Linked DNA regions of Struthio camelus. The protein of the gene in region 2 purifies or fractionates together with the protein of the main gene of each other region. This does not show direct contact. Links are inferred from orthologs where the notes say so. Each region holds a gene or a part of one and is shown on either strand. Other genes may lie near its edges.

Region 1 (7,783 bases), on a different chromosome or scaffold from region 2:
AAATGACCTATTTGCGTTTTTGGTATGTCCCATTCATAGGAGCTGGTACAACTGATGTACTTAGGAATGGCCCATTAATTAATGTGCATGAAAAAATATTCTAATAATCAAACATATTCTGTTTTTAAAATTAAAAAGTAAATTTCAAAAGATGGAGCAACATCACTCAGGCTCATTTTCCATTATTTTCTGCTGATAGATGATGCACCTGTTCAAACACAAAACCCCAGATGATTCTGACCTGCAAATCTGTTACTGGTAAGATGCTGGCATCCCCGTGGAGAAAATAACTTCCCCAAATATCCTCAGGAGTGTGAGCAAGCGTAACCTAGCAAGAGAAATCAAATTCCAAAGAAGTAGTCTTTCATTATGCTATTACAGGTGTTAGCACTGGGGCTGGTTAATTTAATATACTGGCAAAAAAAAAAAAAAACAAAAAAAAAAACCCCAGACCTAACTGAATCCTGAATTAATCTGAGTTTCAAATAATGTAACCTTTCAAAAAAATGTAATCTTTCAACCTCTTATATATAAAAGGAAAAAAATCTTAACAATTTACTAACATTCTGTGGGGAAAAGCTACTACATTTGATATTCATTATGGCAGTGATTCAGTGAAGCTGTTTTTTTTGTACACTGCAAAATCATCTCAATGTTAAAAATATCAATTTCAATCTCAAATTTAAGAAGTTTAGGGAAAAGTTACCAGAGCATAAGAGTAACACTGTAGAAGATTTTCAAGGCAATTTTCAAATCAAACGAACTGAGTTTGTTAAAGCTCCTGTAGCTGCATGAATATCAATACGGTTCAATGAGATGCAGAAATCAAGCTACAACTGAAAGTTTATTGACATCCAGAGAACAAAAAAAAGTATCCAGCTCTGATAATGAGTACTTCATTCCATTCCAATCCACACAACGAATCAATGTGTAAGCAGCGTCACCTGGAATAGATATACTAATGTGCAGGCCAAAAATCATCACATCACACCATACCACCAAGAGGAAAAGTTGTTGCAAAGTCTAACCTATTCAACGTGGTGGGACTTGACCAAAGTCATCCTGAATCTGCTTTCACCAGGATGTTTCCAAAGTTGTTCCTGTCCCCAGGAGACACTGAGTTTCTTTATATGTTTATCATATAACACTACTGAAATAAGTCAAGTAGTAAGACAACCTTAAAAAAATTCAGTTTGCCAGTTCCCACCTGTGTCCTAGAATGTATTTAAAAAAAAAAAAAAAGTGTGTGTGTGTGTGGGGGGGGGGTTCCTTCCTGGGACAGGGCCAAGAGAAATCGAATCCAGTGGAAGACTAGGGTTTGTTTTTTTTTTCCCCTTCCCATTCTTTAAAAATCTCTACATAATGAGCTCGTCACATTTGTTCCAGGAGTCTACAGGACTAGGGGACAAGTTCAAATTTGTGACCGAGTAGAATGACTTTATTTCATTATCCTCCTTACAGCCTTTAAGCTAACAACTTTCTCTTTGGTGTTCAGGACTACCACAGCTCCAGAGCAAGCCCCAGGGAGCTGTTCAAGTAAAGAAAGCATGCTACTTTCTCTCCTGCTAAGGTGCAGTTATCCTGTGCCCAGGGTCAAGAACAAAAAGTATGGAATGAACTTTGGGTAGCTTAATTTCTAACAATATAAAATGGACTTGGATGCTATGATGCAAACTGTTAGCTATCACCTGGTTTCCTGATCAAAAAAAAAAAAAAAAAAAAAGGGGGCTAAGAAAAAGCAAACATATCCAGAGGTGATCTCCTAGAACAATACAAGTCCTTGGATGTCTCTAGTTTTGCTCCACCCTTCAGGACTCCTCTTCCTCTTCATGGTCTACTTTAGGTCGGAAATTTTTCCTGTTCCTCTTCTTACTGCAATGGAATCCAACCGTTTCCACCAGTGGCTCTTCATCTGCATCACTAAACCTTGCACTAAGTTTACCTTCTCTGTTTAGGTCCCCCATCATCAGGCACCCCTCTTCCTCTGTTGCCTTCCCACTTGCATCGTCTAAATGCCCCAACTCTATCTTATCTTCCTCCCTCAAGTCATCAGTCTTCTTAGGAGATTTTCCTCTCAGATCTGTTTTTGTGTGTTTCTTATGATCCTCCCCTGCTGACACTTTCTTTTCCAGTCCATCAACGCCCCTTTTTGTTGGTTTGGTGAAGATAATCCTTCCAGCACCACAGCTGGAGGGGTCCTGGTTGAAGTATGGGGTGTAGCTATCGTGGGCAGCTGAGCTTTGTTCCTCTCCTCTTTTCTTCAAACCCTCTAGAAACTCCATGGCCACTGCCCTGTTAGTCTTGTCATTAGACTCTGAAACGCCATCTAGGCTATACTTGGTCCAGCGCTCTGGGTGTGCCACATAGTCAGGAACTGCAGCAGAAATTTTGGGAGCCTGCACTGGTTTGGTTTGTTTTCCAGGGCTTTCTGGAACCATGTTACTTGAAACAGTAGTTGGAGGCAAAGGACGTTTAAACCTACCATCAACAACATTATCTTCAGGCAATGAGGGCACAGACAGTTTGGCTGCCTCTTCCAAGCAATCAAAAATGCTCTGGCTACGGAGAGAGAATGTAGAACTCATGCCTCTCAAGTGGAATGGCTGGATGGGAGATTTACAACGGCTGTTTGAAGAGTCGGAGGTCTCCCCTGATTGGTAACCCCCATCATCTACAGATGGCTCCTCAGGAGATATTGTATCAACTTCAGCTTCATCCGCTAACCCAAAGTCATCGGAATCAGAATCGCTGAGTGATACTGTGTCAGAGGGCAGAACTCCTTCGTAGTCTGTGGTACCACCAGCCACTATACCCAGAAAGGGTTCACCTGCATCTTGATCTCCCATCTTTGGGCTGTCACTCCACTGATGTCTATGATGTAGGTCCAGGAACACCAGCAAATATGGTTTTCCAAATACCCAACGAATGTAACGCCTAGAATGCAAGGAGTTCAAAAATTCAACTGTGATACAAGTACCATACGTATCACTCTTAACTTAATAATCGGTCCTGCTGTAACCATTGTTTACATGGCACAGGTTATCAGCATCAAGTTTTTGAGCAAATCCACATGACTGTCTTATACGCTACTTCCAGCAATGACCTGTCCAGACTACACCCTATGTTTACCGTACTGTATAAATCCAACAGAAATATACCCTAATCTCTCACTTACTTTGGCTGCTATTTTCCTTTGCTGCACTAGCACTACGCCTTGTGCCAATAAGCAGTGTATTCATTATACTGTCTGTTACAAAGAACACTCTCACTGATCAAGGTCAGTGAGAGAGAAGTTTATAAAACAGCACGGCTATAGCTTCATTTTTTCTTTACTGATATAAAGCACAGGCTTCATTCCTTCCCTGACTTTAAGCTCTGTCACGTCATTACTAGGTTTCAGGGATCATGTGATGAGCCAGCTCAAGGACTTAATCTAATTGGATTAGGAAAACTAATCACACATGCCTTGCTTGTGCTAACACAGTGGAAGCAAGGGGAGCCTGCAACTGAGGCTCAACAAGAGCTGGCCCTTCACTCAGTAAAAACAAACTGTGAAACCGAAGCCTGAGTTCCAGTACAGGCTGGAATACCAGATTCGCTCTGTCTTCCGACAGAAGGGAACTCTCCATAACCGGAGATGGTTGCTGTTCACGCTGCCACTTGCTGGGCAATAAGAAGCGGAGCTGGTGAATATGCACCTCAGTTCAGCTCACAAAAACATGAGATAAGGAAATAGTTCTAGTATATTACTAGAATAAGCTCAACTACATAATTATGGGTTATTTTCAAACAATGCAGTAAACAGACATAGAAAGTCTGTTAGTCACTCACTTTCTCTTGAGACTGAGTCAGCTTCCCCTCCTGAGGGTCAGTTAAAGCCATCAACGATACAAGCACTTCCACCCTAGAAAACAAACATTTCCATTACAATATTGGAAATGTAGTTTTAGCATGAGCTTTAAAAATAATTCCTTCTCTCTGAATCATCCAAAACTGCAGAACTGATTTCTAAATCTGACATAAGCTCACGCTAATATACAAGTCTGCAGATATTCCCGGATTCTTGGCAAAAGAACAACGCGCTCCCTAATAAGGCTGGCACCGCTACATTTACTCAGTCTCCACGCTCACGCTGCCCGCCTTAAGAGTCTGTAGAACGGGAGACAGCCTTTTAAAAAAAATAACACTGTCATTTGCACGAGCAGTAAACCGTCAAGAGGTGAACTATGTTACATACGGCCAAGAAAAATATCAAATGGACGCTTATGCGTTACGAGCACTTAAACGCTGCAAAAAGAAAAAAAAAAGAAAAAAGAGAGAGACCAAGGCTAGCCCAGGCCCACACAGCAGAGACCCAGGCTAGCCCAGGCCTGTGTTTTCAAAGCAAGGCCGTATTCACAATCTGGGCCAGATTTCTACCAGGCGTTAAAACACAGAGCAACTTCTCAAGAAGGCAGCAGCCCGAGCGGTGCGTTGCACACGCAGCCCAGCTGCCTTGGGCAAGGCGAGCGGATGACTGCTTTTAAAAGCACGGCCCCTGCTGCCACTGCTACATGGCCAACGGCCGGCTGAAACCCCTTACGCCCTTCCGGTTCAGCTGCCGTAGCACGTGAGAGAAGCGGCTGCCACCCAGGAGAGCCCAGGAAAAGGCAGGAGCGACTGAAACGACTGCTTGCAGGCGGCACCGTGCGCGTCGGGGGAGTCACGGTACCTCCTAGCCGAGGTCAGCTACCCACCGGTCGGCGAGGGCGGCGTCAGCCCGCCGCAGCCCGGCGGCTCCCTGGCCGGGAAGGGCCCCCTCACGCTCCTCCATGCGGCCGCAGGCCTCTCCCCCTGCAGCCAAGGCAGAACACACACGCCATCACCCCCACGCCGTGGCCGGCAGCCCTCCCCGCCCTTCGCCGTTGCCTCTCCCGCCGGGCCCGCAGCCCCCTACCACAACCCGCCGCCACCCCAACGGCTCCTCGCAGCAACCGCCCGCGTCCTGCCCGCGCGGCGCACGCTGGGACACCGAGTCCCTGCCGCGTGAGGCGGCGCGGCGGCGGGCGGCGCTGGGACTACAACCCCCAGCAGGCAAAGCGGAGCGGGGGGGGGGAAGGCGGGAAGGCACCACCCAGGCCTCACCCGCCCCTCGCCCCTTTGCATGCTGGGAGCTGTAGTTCGCCCGCTTGCCCCCAGGTGGGGGACATTTTGCGAGCTGGGGCCCTCCGCGGGACGCGGCGCGGCGGGACTACGGCTCCCGGGGTGCACCGCGAGCGGCGCCCGCTGCTCTCCGCCGCCATTTTGCAGGCTGTGGGGAGGCGGGCGCGCTGCTGGCGCAGTGCCCTGCGGCCCGGGCAGCAATGGCAGGGCCGGCCCCGCCGTCGCGGTGTGCGGGGCCGGAGCGGGGTCCCGGCCGCCCCCGCCTGCCCGGCAAGCGTCGAGCTCGCCGCCTAACGGCCCCGCGGCGAGCCGGCCCCTCGGAGGGCACCGCCGCCGCCTCCCGAGCATCCCCGCAGCCGCCTGGCAGAAACACGTCCAGCAGAGCCTTTTTTCTCATCGGAAAAGTAGGCGTTTGGCCACAGTGAAAATGTCAGAGGAAGTGTCTGGTGTTTGTTTTGTTTTTGGTTTTTTTTTTTAATTTGTATGTATTTATTTTTCAACCAGAAGACTTCCAAGTCACTAGAGGCATAAAACCAGTGTCCAGCCAAAAAAAGAAAGTTTCCATTTTCTGTCCCAGAAGAACATAATGTGTATGCTTGGAAAAGTGGAATTCTTTCTAAAAATGTTTTATTGGTTTTGGCCAAAGGTGCTTGATTTTTTTTTTCCCCTCGTTCAGTGAAAAGTTTAAATTTCCAGTGAAAATAGACTTCTCAAGTGACTTCAATATTTAGCTCATTTACAGTGTGTTCAGGAAAAAAAAGAGCAAGGTTTGTTCTTTGAGTGCCATACACGCAGCATGCGGTACAGAAGTTTGCAGGATTTTCCTTTTTCCCTCCACCCTTCCGCAGGGTCACGCACCCTTACTGCGTCGCATGATTGTGGGGGCTTCGTCATTAAATGGAATTAAATTAATGCCTACAAAGGGTCTGAGCTGCTAAAGGTCAGGCCTTTACTTAATCGGGTTGCCCAGCAGTGAAGGATTAAGAGAAACATAGGACTTAGTCCAGGCCTTGTAGATGATTTATATCATCGTTTTGCAACAAAAGACAGAACTGTTGGTGGAGTCCTACCATTTTGGATTTTGGTGGCACCTTTTTTTCCACAGCATCCAAACCCTGTTTCATCTCGGTTTCTTTGCCAAAAGGTAAGTTTGTGTCTGTGTCCTAAAAGACTTCACAGAAGCCCTTCAAGAGGGGCCTCGCTGTGAGTCATCTGTAATATAAGCTGCAGCCATTTGTATTGTGAGTTTTAAAATATATATACACTTTTGCCTTCTGGAGTGTTGCTCACTACAGTAATTTATGAGATGAGTAATTTATGAGATGAGAGCTGTGTTTGGAATACGTTTGGCAGCAGTAACAAGGTTAGCACAAAATGTCTTTCGTCTGGCCGGAGCTGTGCTGCAGTTTTAAATCAACAGTTCTAGAGGTGTTTCCCCATTTGGTGATCCTTTTTGAAAATAGTGTGATCACAGCCATTAAAATGGGTTCCTGGCTGGAGGGAGGAAGAGCGGAAGAGTTCTCTGGTACATCAGCAGGAGCAGGTATGGGGAGGGTAGTAAACAGGCAAGGAAACCATCTGAAAGGGGAAATAAGACTAAAACACAGGTAAAGTCTGTGTAACACTGTGTAGCATGTCAGGGACGTACCAGGAGTGAATCTCGGAGAGTAAAAAGGAGGAGGCAAGGAAAGGATGTGGAGTAGGCAGTGGCATATCCCTTTTTTTTGTAAGGGTGGAGACAAAGAAGGTCTGGTGCAAATGGATGAAATGGTTTAAAACCTGGTTGTAATGCTACGTTAGTTAGGAGCTCAGGAGGGCAGAAAAGGGCTACGCCACCTCCAGTCTCTCCATCATCCACGAATCCGGGTGCCTTCAGGGACAAGCCCCATTCCTAGATTTGTGGAGGCCACTGGCATTGCTAGGCTTAGTCACTGCTCAGTTTTCACCTGGAAGCTATGTCTGTTAATGGCCAAAGTCACCTTCAGAAGCTGGCTGTACCCATTTTCTCCTTCCTGCCTTTTTGCAGAAGATCAGTACCACACACTGCAGCAATCCGGGGATGAGCTACTTTTTTCTGGTGACTGAGGACAAGGCAGTTTGTAGTGGTGGATATACTGGTGTGTTGGGATTTTTTTGCTATTGCTTGGTGACAGCTGAAATAAAAATAATGAGTCAGGCCCTGAAGATGAACAGATGGTAAAGCGTTTTCCGCTAGCCAATATGAACTAAGGTGGCTTGAAGAGGGATGAGGGGCTGGATCGCGGCTCTAACTGTGGTGCGGGAAATCATCCAAATGAGGGCGGCGTGTTCTGTGTGCAAGCTCCAAGGAGCCAGCTCCACCACGGCGTGGGCTTCTTGGAGGAGGTGGCCCTGTGCGCCTGCAGGAAGCCAGCACCTCCCTGCATGCGGGGGTGGCCTGTGCGAATGCATACACATCACAGCCCTGCTGGTGGGAGCTTCATGCTCCTTTCTTGCAAACGCATCTGTCAGTTGGTGCCCATCTGGTAACAGGTTCTGCTACTCAGCCGGCAGGTTCCTGCTGCTTCTGCTGTCAGAGGCCAGGGTAGACGCTGGCAGGCAGTTCCTGCCCCTGTCCTCATGGCTATTGGAAAGGGGCAATTCCTCAGAAATGGGGGAAGCT
Region 2 (7,783 bases):
CCCCCCCCCCCACCCCATCTCTGCTGTTGCCTACGCTAAGGCGGCTGCAACCTGTAGGCAGTTCAAGCTCGGGATTCCTCTGTGCAGCAAGGATGCACTGTAACGAGCTTTGGTGCCCCCACCTTGTGCAAAAGTGGATGTGCAGGACAGGGTAATGGGCTGTACTGGCCTTTAGCCTTCCCCTGTGGGCCCTGATGCCTGAGGCATGGCACCAATAGTTTTGGCGCACAGCAGCTAGAACTCTAAGCCGAAATGCAAGTTTAGCCCACAGAAAATTCTCCCCATACAAAGGCCGTAAACAGCAACTTAAAACATGACAGGATGTGCTACTTCAGGCAGACGCTAAAACCGATCTCGTCTACCTTGAGATGGATGCTACTTTTCATATTCATTTAGGGAAAATTAACTGGATTTGACACCAGGTCAGCTATGGCAACACAAACCCGTAAGTCCCGATTGGAACAGTTTCTAGAGTACAAAAGTGCTCTATAAAAGAAAACTCCCAGAATACTTAATATCATATTTCTACAAAAATTGCAATTGCCAGTTTGCTTACATCTTCCTGTTGAAGCAGACAACCCGCAAAGTGTCATTTCTTCGACACCTCTAAACAAACAAACTAAACAGACTAAGTACACAACGCATAAAAAAAAAAAAAAAGATAATAATTACCAGTTTCATGCCCAGTTCATGGGCTTTGTACTGAGGGTGGGATGGCGGGGGCAGCGTGTATCCACTGCGTCTGTCTGGAACAAACTTCTGCTGCATTAGTTGTGCATATAAACACTTTGTGAAAGTAACCTGAAAACAGCAGAGCAAAAGAAAAACACTCGCTGCAGCGCGACCGTGTTCTATATGGGCATCACCTTTCACACTCTGCCATCTGAATTGTATTTTAAAGCATCCATACTACAGACAATCTGTCAGATGGTATTTAGAAGTTGACAGATGTATTTGTCTAAGATGTGTCACTTCTTAGATTTTACACAGTATATTCAAAGATGGTAACATCTCTAAATAAATACGAACTTTGTTAGATCTAAATACATTTTAGCAGAGGAACTTTTAGCAGTAGTGTCCTCCGACTTCAGAAATTCTTCTCTGGCGTTTAGCCCGTTTGAAAGCCTAGCCACATCAATCTGAAGGCAGCAAAGCTATTAACATAATCAACTGGAAATCCATGGCTAGTGTCAAAAGAGAAAATCAGAAAACGTGCTATTTTAAAAATGAAACCCATACATTTATCTAACTTGACCACAGAACCTCCATCAGTAACAGAACTTAATTCAGTGATAACAAGTTGAATTAGAAGCATCACTTACTACAGTCATCACACGCTCATCCGGAGGGAAAGTCCGAAAAGAGCGACACGCTCGCAAATCTATGGGATCTCGCAGGTAAAAGGCCTGGACTGCTGCAGCCACCAACGAAGGGCGCTGCCTAAGCACTGCCACAATGCCTGCCGGGAGGTAGCAGTGGGCTCGGTGAAACGAGGCCTGAATTTTCTCAGGATACCTGTATCGTATGATAGCAATATAGTGTATTAAGTGTATTGCAAGACCAAACCACTCCTTTTTAATTACTGTTTCCATTTTTACTTTAATATTAGTCTGTACTATGGGCCGAGTACAAGAAGATTATTCTGAAATAAAGTTAAAACTCAGCTAATCTACCAGATGGAACGCCTAAACAAGATTCACTTAAAAAAAAAAAAAAAAAGAGAAATAAAAATATATAGCTAAGAAAAATTTAATCCCCACATTGGTAAAAAGCATCACTGTGAATTGAACTAATATGTCCAGCTACGCAGCTTCCTTCACTGTGCTGACTGCAGAGGTCATCTGGCTCAGGCTGTCACATCCTTGCAGAAAATTACATGTACTGCTGACCATTTCAGAGAGTGAGCTGATGCTCTGAAAAGCATGCTGGTTCTGCACCGTTGTTCAGGATTGCCTCTTCCCCCAGAGGACTCAGACAATTTTCAGATTTCCTCACCAATTAGTATGGGAAGGATGTGGAGTAACTCCTACCACTGTCAGGTGCGGCATCATCACATTGAACCTCTACCTGAGCCCCCAGACAAGGTTACAGTTTACGTGACTGTGCCGCCTCCCCCCAAAGAACGCCACAGAAAAACTCTCCCTGGGGCTTCAGAAAAGGAAGCAGCTTTAGCACAGTGAACAGGAAAACGACCGAATGCAAGGAAAGAAAGTACCCCAGAGAGCCAAGAATCAGCGGCTACAGAACACCATAAACCATCCACGTACCCACTGATGCGTTTATACACGGCCGTTCTAATGGGTTTTGCGGCCAGACACTCCTCCGCACGGGTGGATAACAACGTTAACGCCTGTGAGATTGTCGGACTGGAAGCAGGTAGCTCCCATTCCTGCCCATGAGTCTCCGGCAGTGGAATGATGTGCAGCTCACCTTTGTAAAAGAATACCTGGCAGACAGTAACGTTTTCATCAGAAGGGTAAAAACAGTCACAGACTGACCAATGCAAAATTTCTTTTCATAGATGAACGTGTTTGTTTAAACGCAGAGAATACTGGAGTACGAATATTGAAATAACACAGGAAACAGCATGAAGTACATACAGGCACTGAAGACCATGACCTAACCACTAAATAAAGGCTATTTTAATAGCAGCAACAGGTTTGATCACATAAATCTTGTTTCTTTAATAACTGCCGTACCAAAAGTTTCTCTTAAATTGGAGATCCACTTCAGGAGAACCTGACAGCAAAATAACCTAGCTGCTGAAGAACAGGACAATGACTGAAGAGCACCATTTCGGGTGCCTCTGACATGTGACCTCTGCTGTTTTCTTAGCCTAAGAGAAGAACAGCTGGATCTAGCATTGTCACCTCCCAATCCTTGAAATGGAAGGAGAACATGGTACTAATAATCCAGTTAAGGGTTTGTGATTCATTTTTGTGTTGTGTCTTCCCCCGCCTCCTTTCTCTTTTTAACTGCCTTGGAGGAGTACACAAAAATTCTCCGCTAACGAAGAAGTAAGTTCTTTCCATTCAAATCTGTAGGTAAGAAATTCAGTGACATAATCCACTGACAATCATCTACGGTGAGGTGATTCAGCTGCAGACTCTGGCGAAGGAGTCAGCTCATCGGTTCAGCTACGCCAGACCCAGGCTGTCAACCTGTAGAGTCAGAGACGCTCCAGTCTTGAGCGTTCCCCAGGCTGCACTACATGTGCAGCCTGAGCACTACATGGTAGAAAAACTCAAGCGGCTATACCCGAGCTAGAAAGCTCACACAGGGGCAAGAGTGCTCCTCAGGAAAGCAATATGGCATGCGTGCATAACAAATATATTCCGCAGTTCCCATATTATCTAAATTTTCCTAGCACTCCAGTAACCTAGATAACGGGAAGGAGACTATCAAACTGGTTTTATAGATTAATAAACAGCATGACACCTTCTCTGTCTTCGCAATTGCACTGTTTTAGCCAACACTAACGGTAGGTTTACAGAAGCCAAGTCAGTTAACAACCCTGAAAGGCTGATTTATGTGCAAGAATCAGATCTAGCTAATCAAGAGGGATTCAGAGGCTCTCAGGCAGGTCTCGAGTCTCTGCGCGAGCGTCACGTTATGAGTAGAAGAAAGCTCTCTTTTTTCCTCCTCTGACTCGAGCGCACGAGGGCTTTGAAAAAACGACTCTAGAAGAACCACTCGATAGCTGCAGCACTTTTAGATGTTCCTACAGCAGTTTCTCATTCATTTTACCTAGCATCCTGTAGGAGCACGCGGGGCAAAAACAAGCGTCAGAGCCGGCCAGCGGTTAAGTCTCCCGTACACCTGCTCATTTGCAGGAAAGCCCTGAACTCACCCGGTTTTCACTGTTCTCGGGATTCAGCCCCTTCGGCAGGAAATCAGCAGCTTCTATCAGCAGAAACTCCCCGTCGTTGTCGTCAACCCTGGCCAGGGAGAAAGGGGGCTCTGCCGGCAGGCGGGCTCAGGGGGCCCGCCCTCGGCGCTCCAACCCCTGGGCGGGAGGCCGCTCCCCCCCCAGCGCGGCCGTTGGCCGTTGGCCGTTGGCCGCTGTCGGCCGTTGGCCGCCCCGCCCCGCCCCGCCCCCCTACCTGGCGGCCAGCTCCGGGAACTGCCTGGTGATCTCGCGCACGAGGTAGACGATGAACCACTCGTCCTCCACGTTATCCCCGAACAGCGTGGTGCCGCCGATGTGCGCCGGGGTGTCGCCTGCCCGGGGGGGGGGGGGGGAAGGGAGAGGAGATGATGAGAGGCGGCTCGAGGCCCCGCTAACGGGCGCGGCGCGGCGCGGCGGCGCTGCTCACCGCGAGCCGGCAGGCAGCGCAGCCGGAAGGGCTGCCGCTGCCAGATGTAGGCGGCCAGGAGCGGCGCGAAGCGCAGCAGGATCCTGTCGGCGCAGCGGCGGAGGGGCGCCTCGCCGCCCGCCACCGGGAAGAGGCGGTAGCGCACGGCGTCCTCCGCCAGCGCGGCCCGCCGGCCGCCCTCCATGAGCGCAGGGCCGAGCCGTGCTGCGCAGGGCCGCGCAGTGCCGCTCCGCCTCCCCGGCGCGGCGCGGGGCGGGGCGGGGCGGGGCGGGGAGGAGCGTCGCCATGGCGGGGAGGCGGCGGGCGGCGGCGTTGCCGCTGCCGCGCTGAGCTGAGCTGAGCTGAGGCGAGGCGGGCGGAGGATGATCTCGCGATACGCGCGCAAGCCGGTGCCCCCCGGCGCCCGGCAGAAGTGAGTGGCCGCCGCTCTGCCCCCCCCCCCGGCCCCGCCGCGGCTTCCCCCGCGCCGCCCCCGGGCTCCGCCGCGCCCGGCCAGGCCCCGCGCTCGGGCCTGCTGGGCGGCCGCCGAAACGGGGCCGGGGGGCTGCGCCGGGTAACGCTGGGGCCGCGGGAGGGGGCCGGGATACGGGCAGCCTCCTGACGGGCTGAGCGCGGCGGTGCCCGCGCGTTGTCACTACCGGGAAAGGCAGGTTTGGTAGGAGGTGATTAACTTAAATTGCCTCTTTTTGACCCAGGGGGTAACTGATGCTTTTTTTTTTTTTTTTCCCGGGGAGGGGGGGTATAGGAAAATACCTAGGTTTTGGTAGTTAGCTCCTTTGATGCGGTGTTGTTTACTTCGGTAGCCTTGCTCTCTCCAACACCAGAGGTATCACAGAAGAGAGGGCTTCTTCGGCCGGTACTCGGGATAAAGACGTGCTTTGTTCTTTTTTTTTTCTTTTTTTTTTGTTTGATCTTTGATCTTTCTTCCCAGAGCTATTCACCGTAGTTGCCTTCCTGCACTTCTCTCTCTCCTACTGCTCTGCCTTTTCTTGTCTCTTTTTCCTAGACATCTAAATTTTAACAAAACAAAAACTAGCAAATACCGTTTTCCCTTATTTTGCCTGTGCTTGAGTTTAGAGGCCAGTGTTGTTCTGTGTGATTACAGGTCGCCTGGGGGGACAGCTATGTTACATCTGCTTTTACAGAGCTGTAACCCAGTTCACAACAGTATTTTAAGTTTACTGTAAAGGAAGATACTGCTTTCTAAGCAAAGCCCTTTAACTCCGTGTTTAGCCTGGAGTTAGTTTTCATCTCAGTTCTAAAGCTTTGATAACAGGAACTAGCCTTTTAACAATAAATGAGGTCAGGTATGCAAATGAGTGCATTCCTTCAAGAGCCAAAAAAAACCCAACAACAACAAACTGTAACACTTTGGAACTCTGCAGGTGTTTATTTTTCTAACTTCCACTTCTCTGTTTTAGACAAGGACTTACAAAACATGCCTTGCAGCAGCATCCCCTGCCAGAACCACGAGCTGAGGTCCACCCAGCTGCACCCACTGTCAAAAGCTATGGGGAGACCTCAAGGTACTGGTAATAACATAAAATGTATCTCTGGAGACAATAGAGGAACAGTCACTTCGGTGTTACTCCGTCACAGAAGTGCCAGAGTAATACAGTTAGGCTTAGGCTTTAACTCCTGACTGTAGCGTTTCAGAACATGTCCTTTCTGTGGGTACTCAAGAGGCAGGGTTGCAGCCTCAGGTTTTTGAGATGGTGGACCTCTATTTCAGTTCCATTAGACAGTGTGGTACATTTTGCAAGCCCCAGGATATGTGCTGCGGCGCAGATGCATTTTGGAAATAATAATCAGTGTTTTTACTGTGTTCTGTTCCCAGCCTGTAAATGGCATCTTAATTGTATGCCAGAAACAAGAGGGAAAGGGGAAGAATAATTCTTGAGTGATGTAGAACTGGAACTAGAAATTGTCTGCAGAGTAACTAAGATAATTTTTGGAAAATTAATGTTTGAAAGCCTGACCCCCTAGACTTCCTATGTCAGTGAGGTTATTAAGAATTACAGTTCCAACCTAGAGTAACACATACTATGGTTTCTGCTTAAGTGCCTCTAATTTAAATATTTACCGTTTGAAAACTGTTCTTAGAGGAGGGTTGCTGAGACCTGTTCTGATATATCTGTGCTCTTTTGTACAGAAAGAAAAGTTTACTTACCCACTTGTTTGTGATTCTGTGATTATTGCTTTTTTTCTTCTTCCTTTTTTCTCAATGTGTGCATTTCAGTGAATCTGAAATTTCGAAGGAAACAGATTACCCTTCTGTTACTCCAACCGATCATGGGAATTCATGGTCTGTTAGTCAGAGCTATGCAGGAACCACCACTGAAGACAGCTCAGTCTTCTCTTGGGGCTGTGATGTGAGTAGAACGTAATCATCCAAACCAAATCCAGCACAGCGAGTTGAAAGACACTTGAAATGCCATTGGAAGTACATTTCAGGGTAAAGATGAGCACTGGATCTGTAAATAAAGCAATGACAGTGGTTATAGGAAAAGCATTGTTTTGACCTCCGTCTTTCCCTTCCTCTTAGATCAGAACATACTCGATTTGTAGTCAATTCATATGCAATTAGTATTCTGCGTTCCCGGTCTAAAGAGTTGATGGTGCAAATATATTTAATGCATATGCACTCACACACACATATTCACACATATGTACATACACAACATTAATGCTATTATTGTGGAATCCTAAATGTGAGTGGATGATTTTCATATGCTTTGCGTTTCTCAAACTTCAGATTTAAGAAAACTTGTGGATATTTGTATGTTTCTCAAAATATAGTAATGCCCTAAAACATTATTTTAATTTAAAAAATGTCCTTTATTCCCCGTCTGCCAAAACAAAGGATGCTATTGCTTTCTGTGAGGTAAAGATGGGGAACTGTTCAGATTTGAATTACTCAAGAACCATTTTCTAGCAACACGACAACATTTAGCAAAGATCGTGATCATCCTTCGCTGCATAGTGTTTTACACCGGTCTGCATTGCTTTTTGTTTTGGTGTCATCTGTGGACAATACAAGCAACGAACTTTCCATTTCATTAAAATCTTGCTGAATTTTATCCTTTGTGTTCGGGTATGTTTTATGCAAATTATTATGTCTCTAACTTAATAATGTAGACATTTCAAAATGTTTTAATAGGTTTTCTGTTGCGTCAATTTAAGCTTTTTATGTAGCTACCATCGACCCCAGCAGTGGTCTGCATCATCTCCCAGTGAAAAATTATTTAAAGTTAACGTCTTTAAATGCAGTGGAGGTCATTGCTGTTTAAATCCATCCTGCTAAGCTTTAAACAAACAGGTGTCTTTTCAATTTTAAAAATGTCAATTAAAAAAAAAACTCCAAATACCATTCACTAGGTTTTTATTGGATAACTTTCCTTTCCAGGAATTTGATAAAGCTGCCACACGACAGGTTCAGCAAATGTTCAGACAAATTGATGAGCTTC

Evidence for each region. Proteins that work in one complex are often made in the same cells at the same time.
Region 1: the proteins of ECD (region 2) and TSSC4 purify together in Homo sapiens (affinity purification with mass spectrometry; 3 studies listed by BioGRID and IntAct, counting the BioPlex papers as one, with this or other methods). This does not show direct contact. The link is inferred for Struthio camelus from reciprocal best matches to the Homo sapiens genes ECD and TSSC4.

The regions. Positions count from the first base shown.
Region 1 is NC_090946.1:18,610,115-18,617,897, reverse strand, and holds TSSC4 (U5 small nuclear ribonucleoprotein TSSC4), read right to left. Parts: upstream 5,061-7,783; 5' UTR 4,937-5,060; intron 4,834-4,936; 5' UTR 4,737-4,833; exon of another isoform or gene 4,712-4,736; intron 3,905-4,711; 5' UTR 3,832-3,904; intron 2,935-3,831; 5' UTR 2,847-2,934; coding exon 1,809-2,846; 3' UTR 826-1,808; downstream 1-825. UniProt on the Homo sapiens protein: Protein associated with the U5 snRNP, during its maturation and its post-splicing recycling and which is required for spliceosomal tri-snRNP complex assembly in the nucleus.
Region 2 is NC_090948.1:40,678,696-40,686,478, forward strand, and holds the start of ECD (protein ecdysoneless homolog), read right to left. Parts: upstream 4,656-7,783; 5' UTR 4,501-4,655; coding exon 4,317-4,500; intron 4,222-4,316; coding exon 4,104-4,221; intron 3,939-4,103; coding exon 3,851-3,938; intron 2,447-3,850; coding exon 2,268-2,446; intron 1,516-2,267; coding exon 1,323-1,515; intron 802-1,322; coding exon 673-801; intron 1-672. Other genes in the region: primary cilium assembly protein FAM149B1, read left to right, coding at 4,679-4,728, 5,738-5,842, 6,556-6,688, 7,723-7,783. UniProt on the Homo sapiens protein: Regulator of p53/TP53 stability and function. Inhibits MDM2-mediated degradation of p53/TP53 possibly by cooperating in part with TXNIP. May be involved transcriptional regulation. In vitro has intrinsic transactivation activity enhanced by EP300.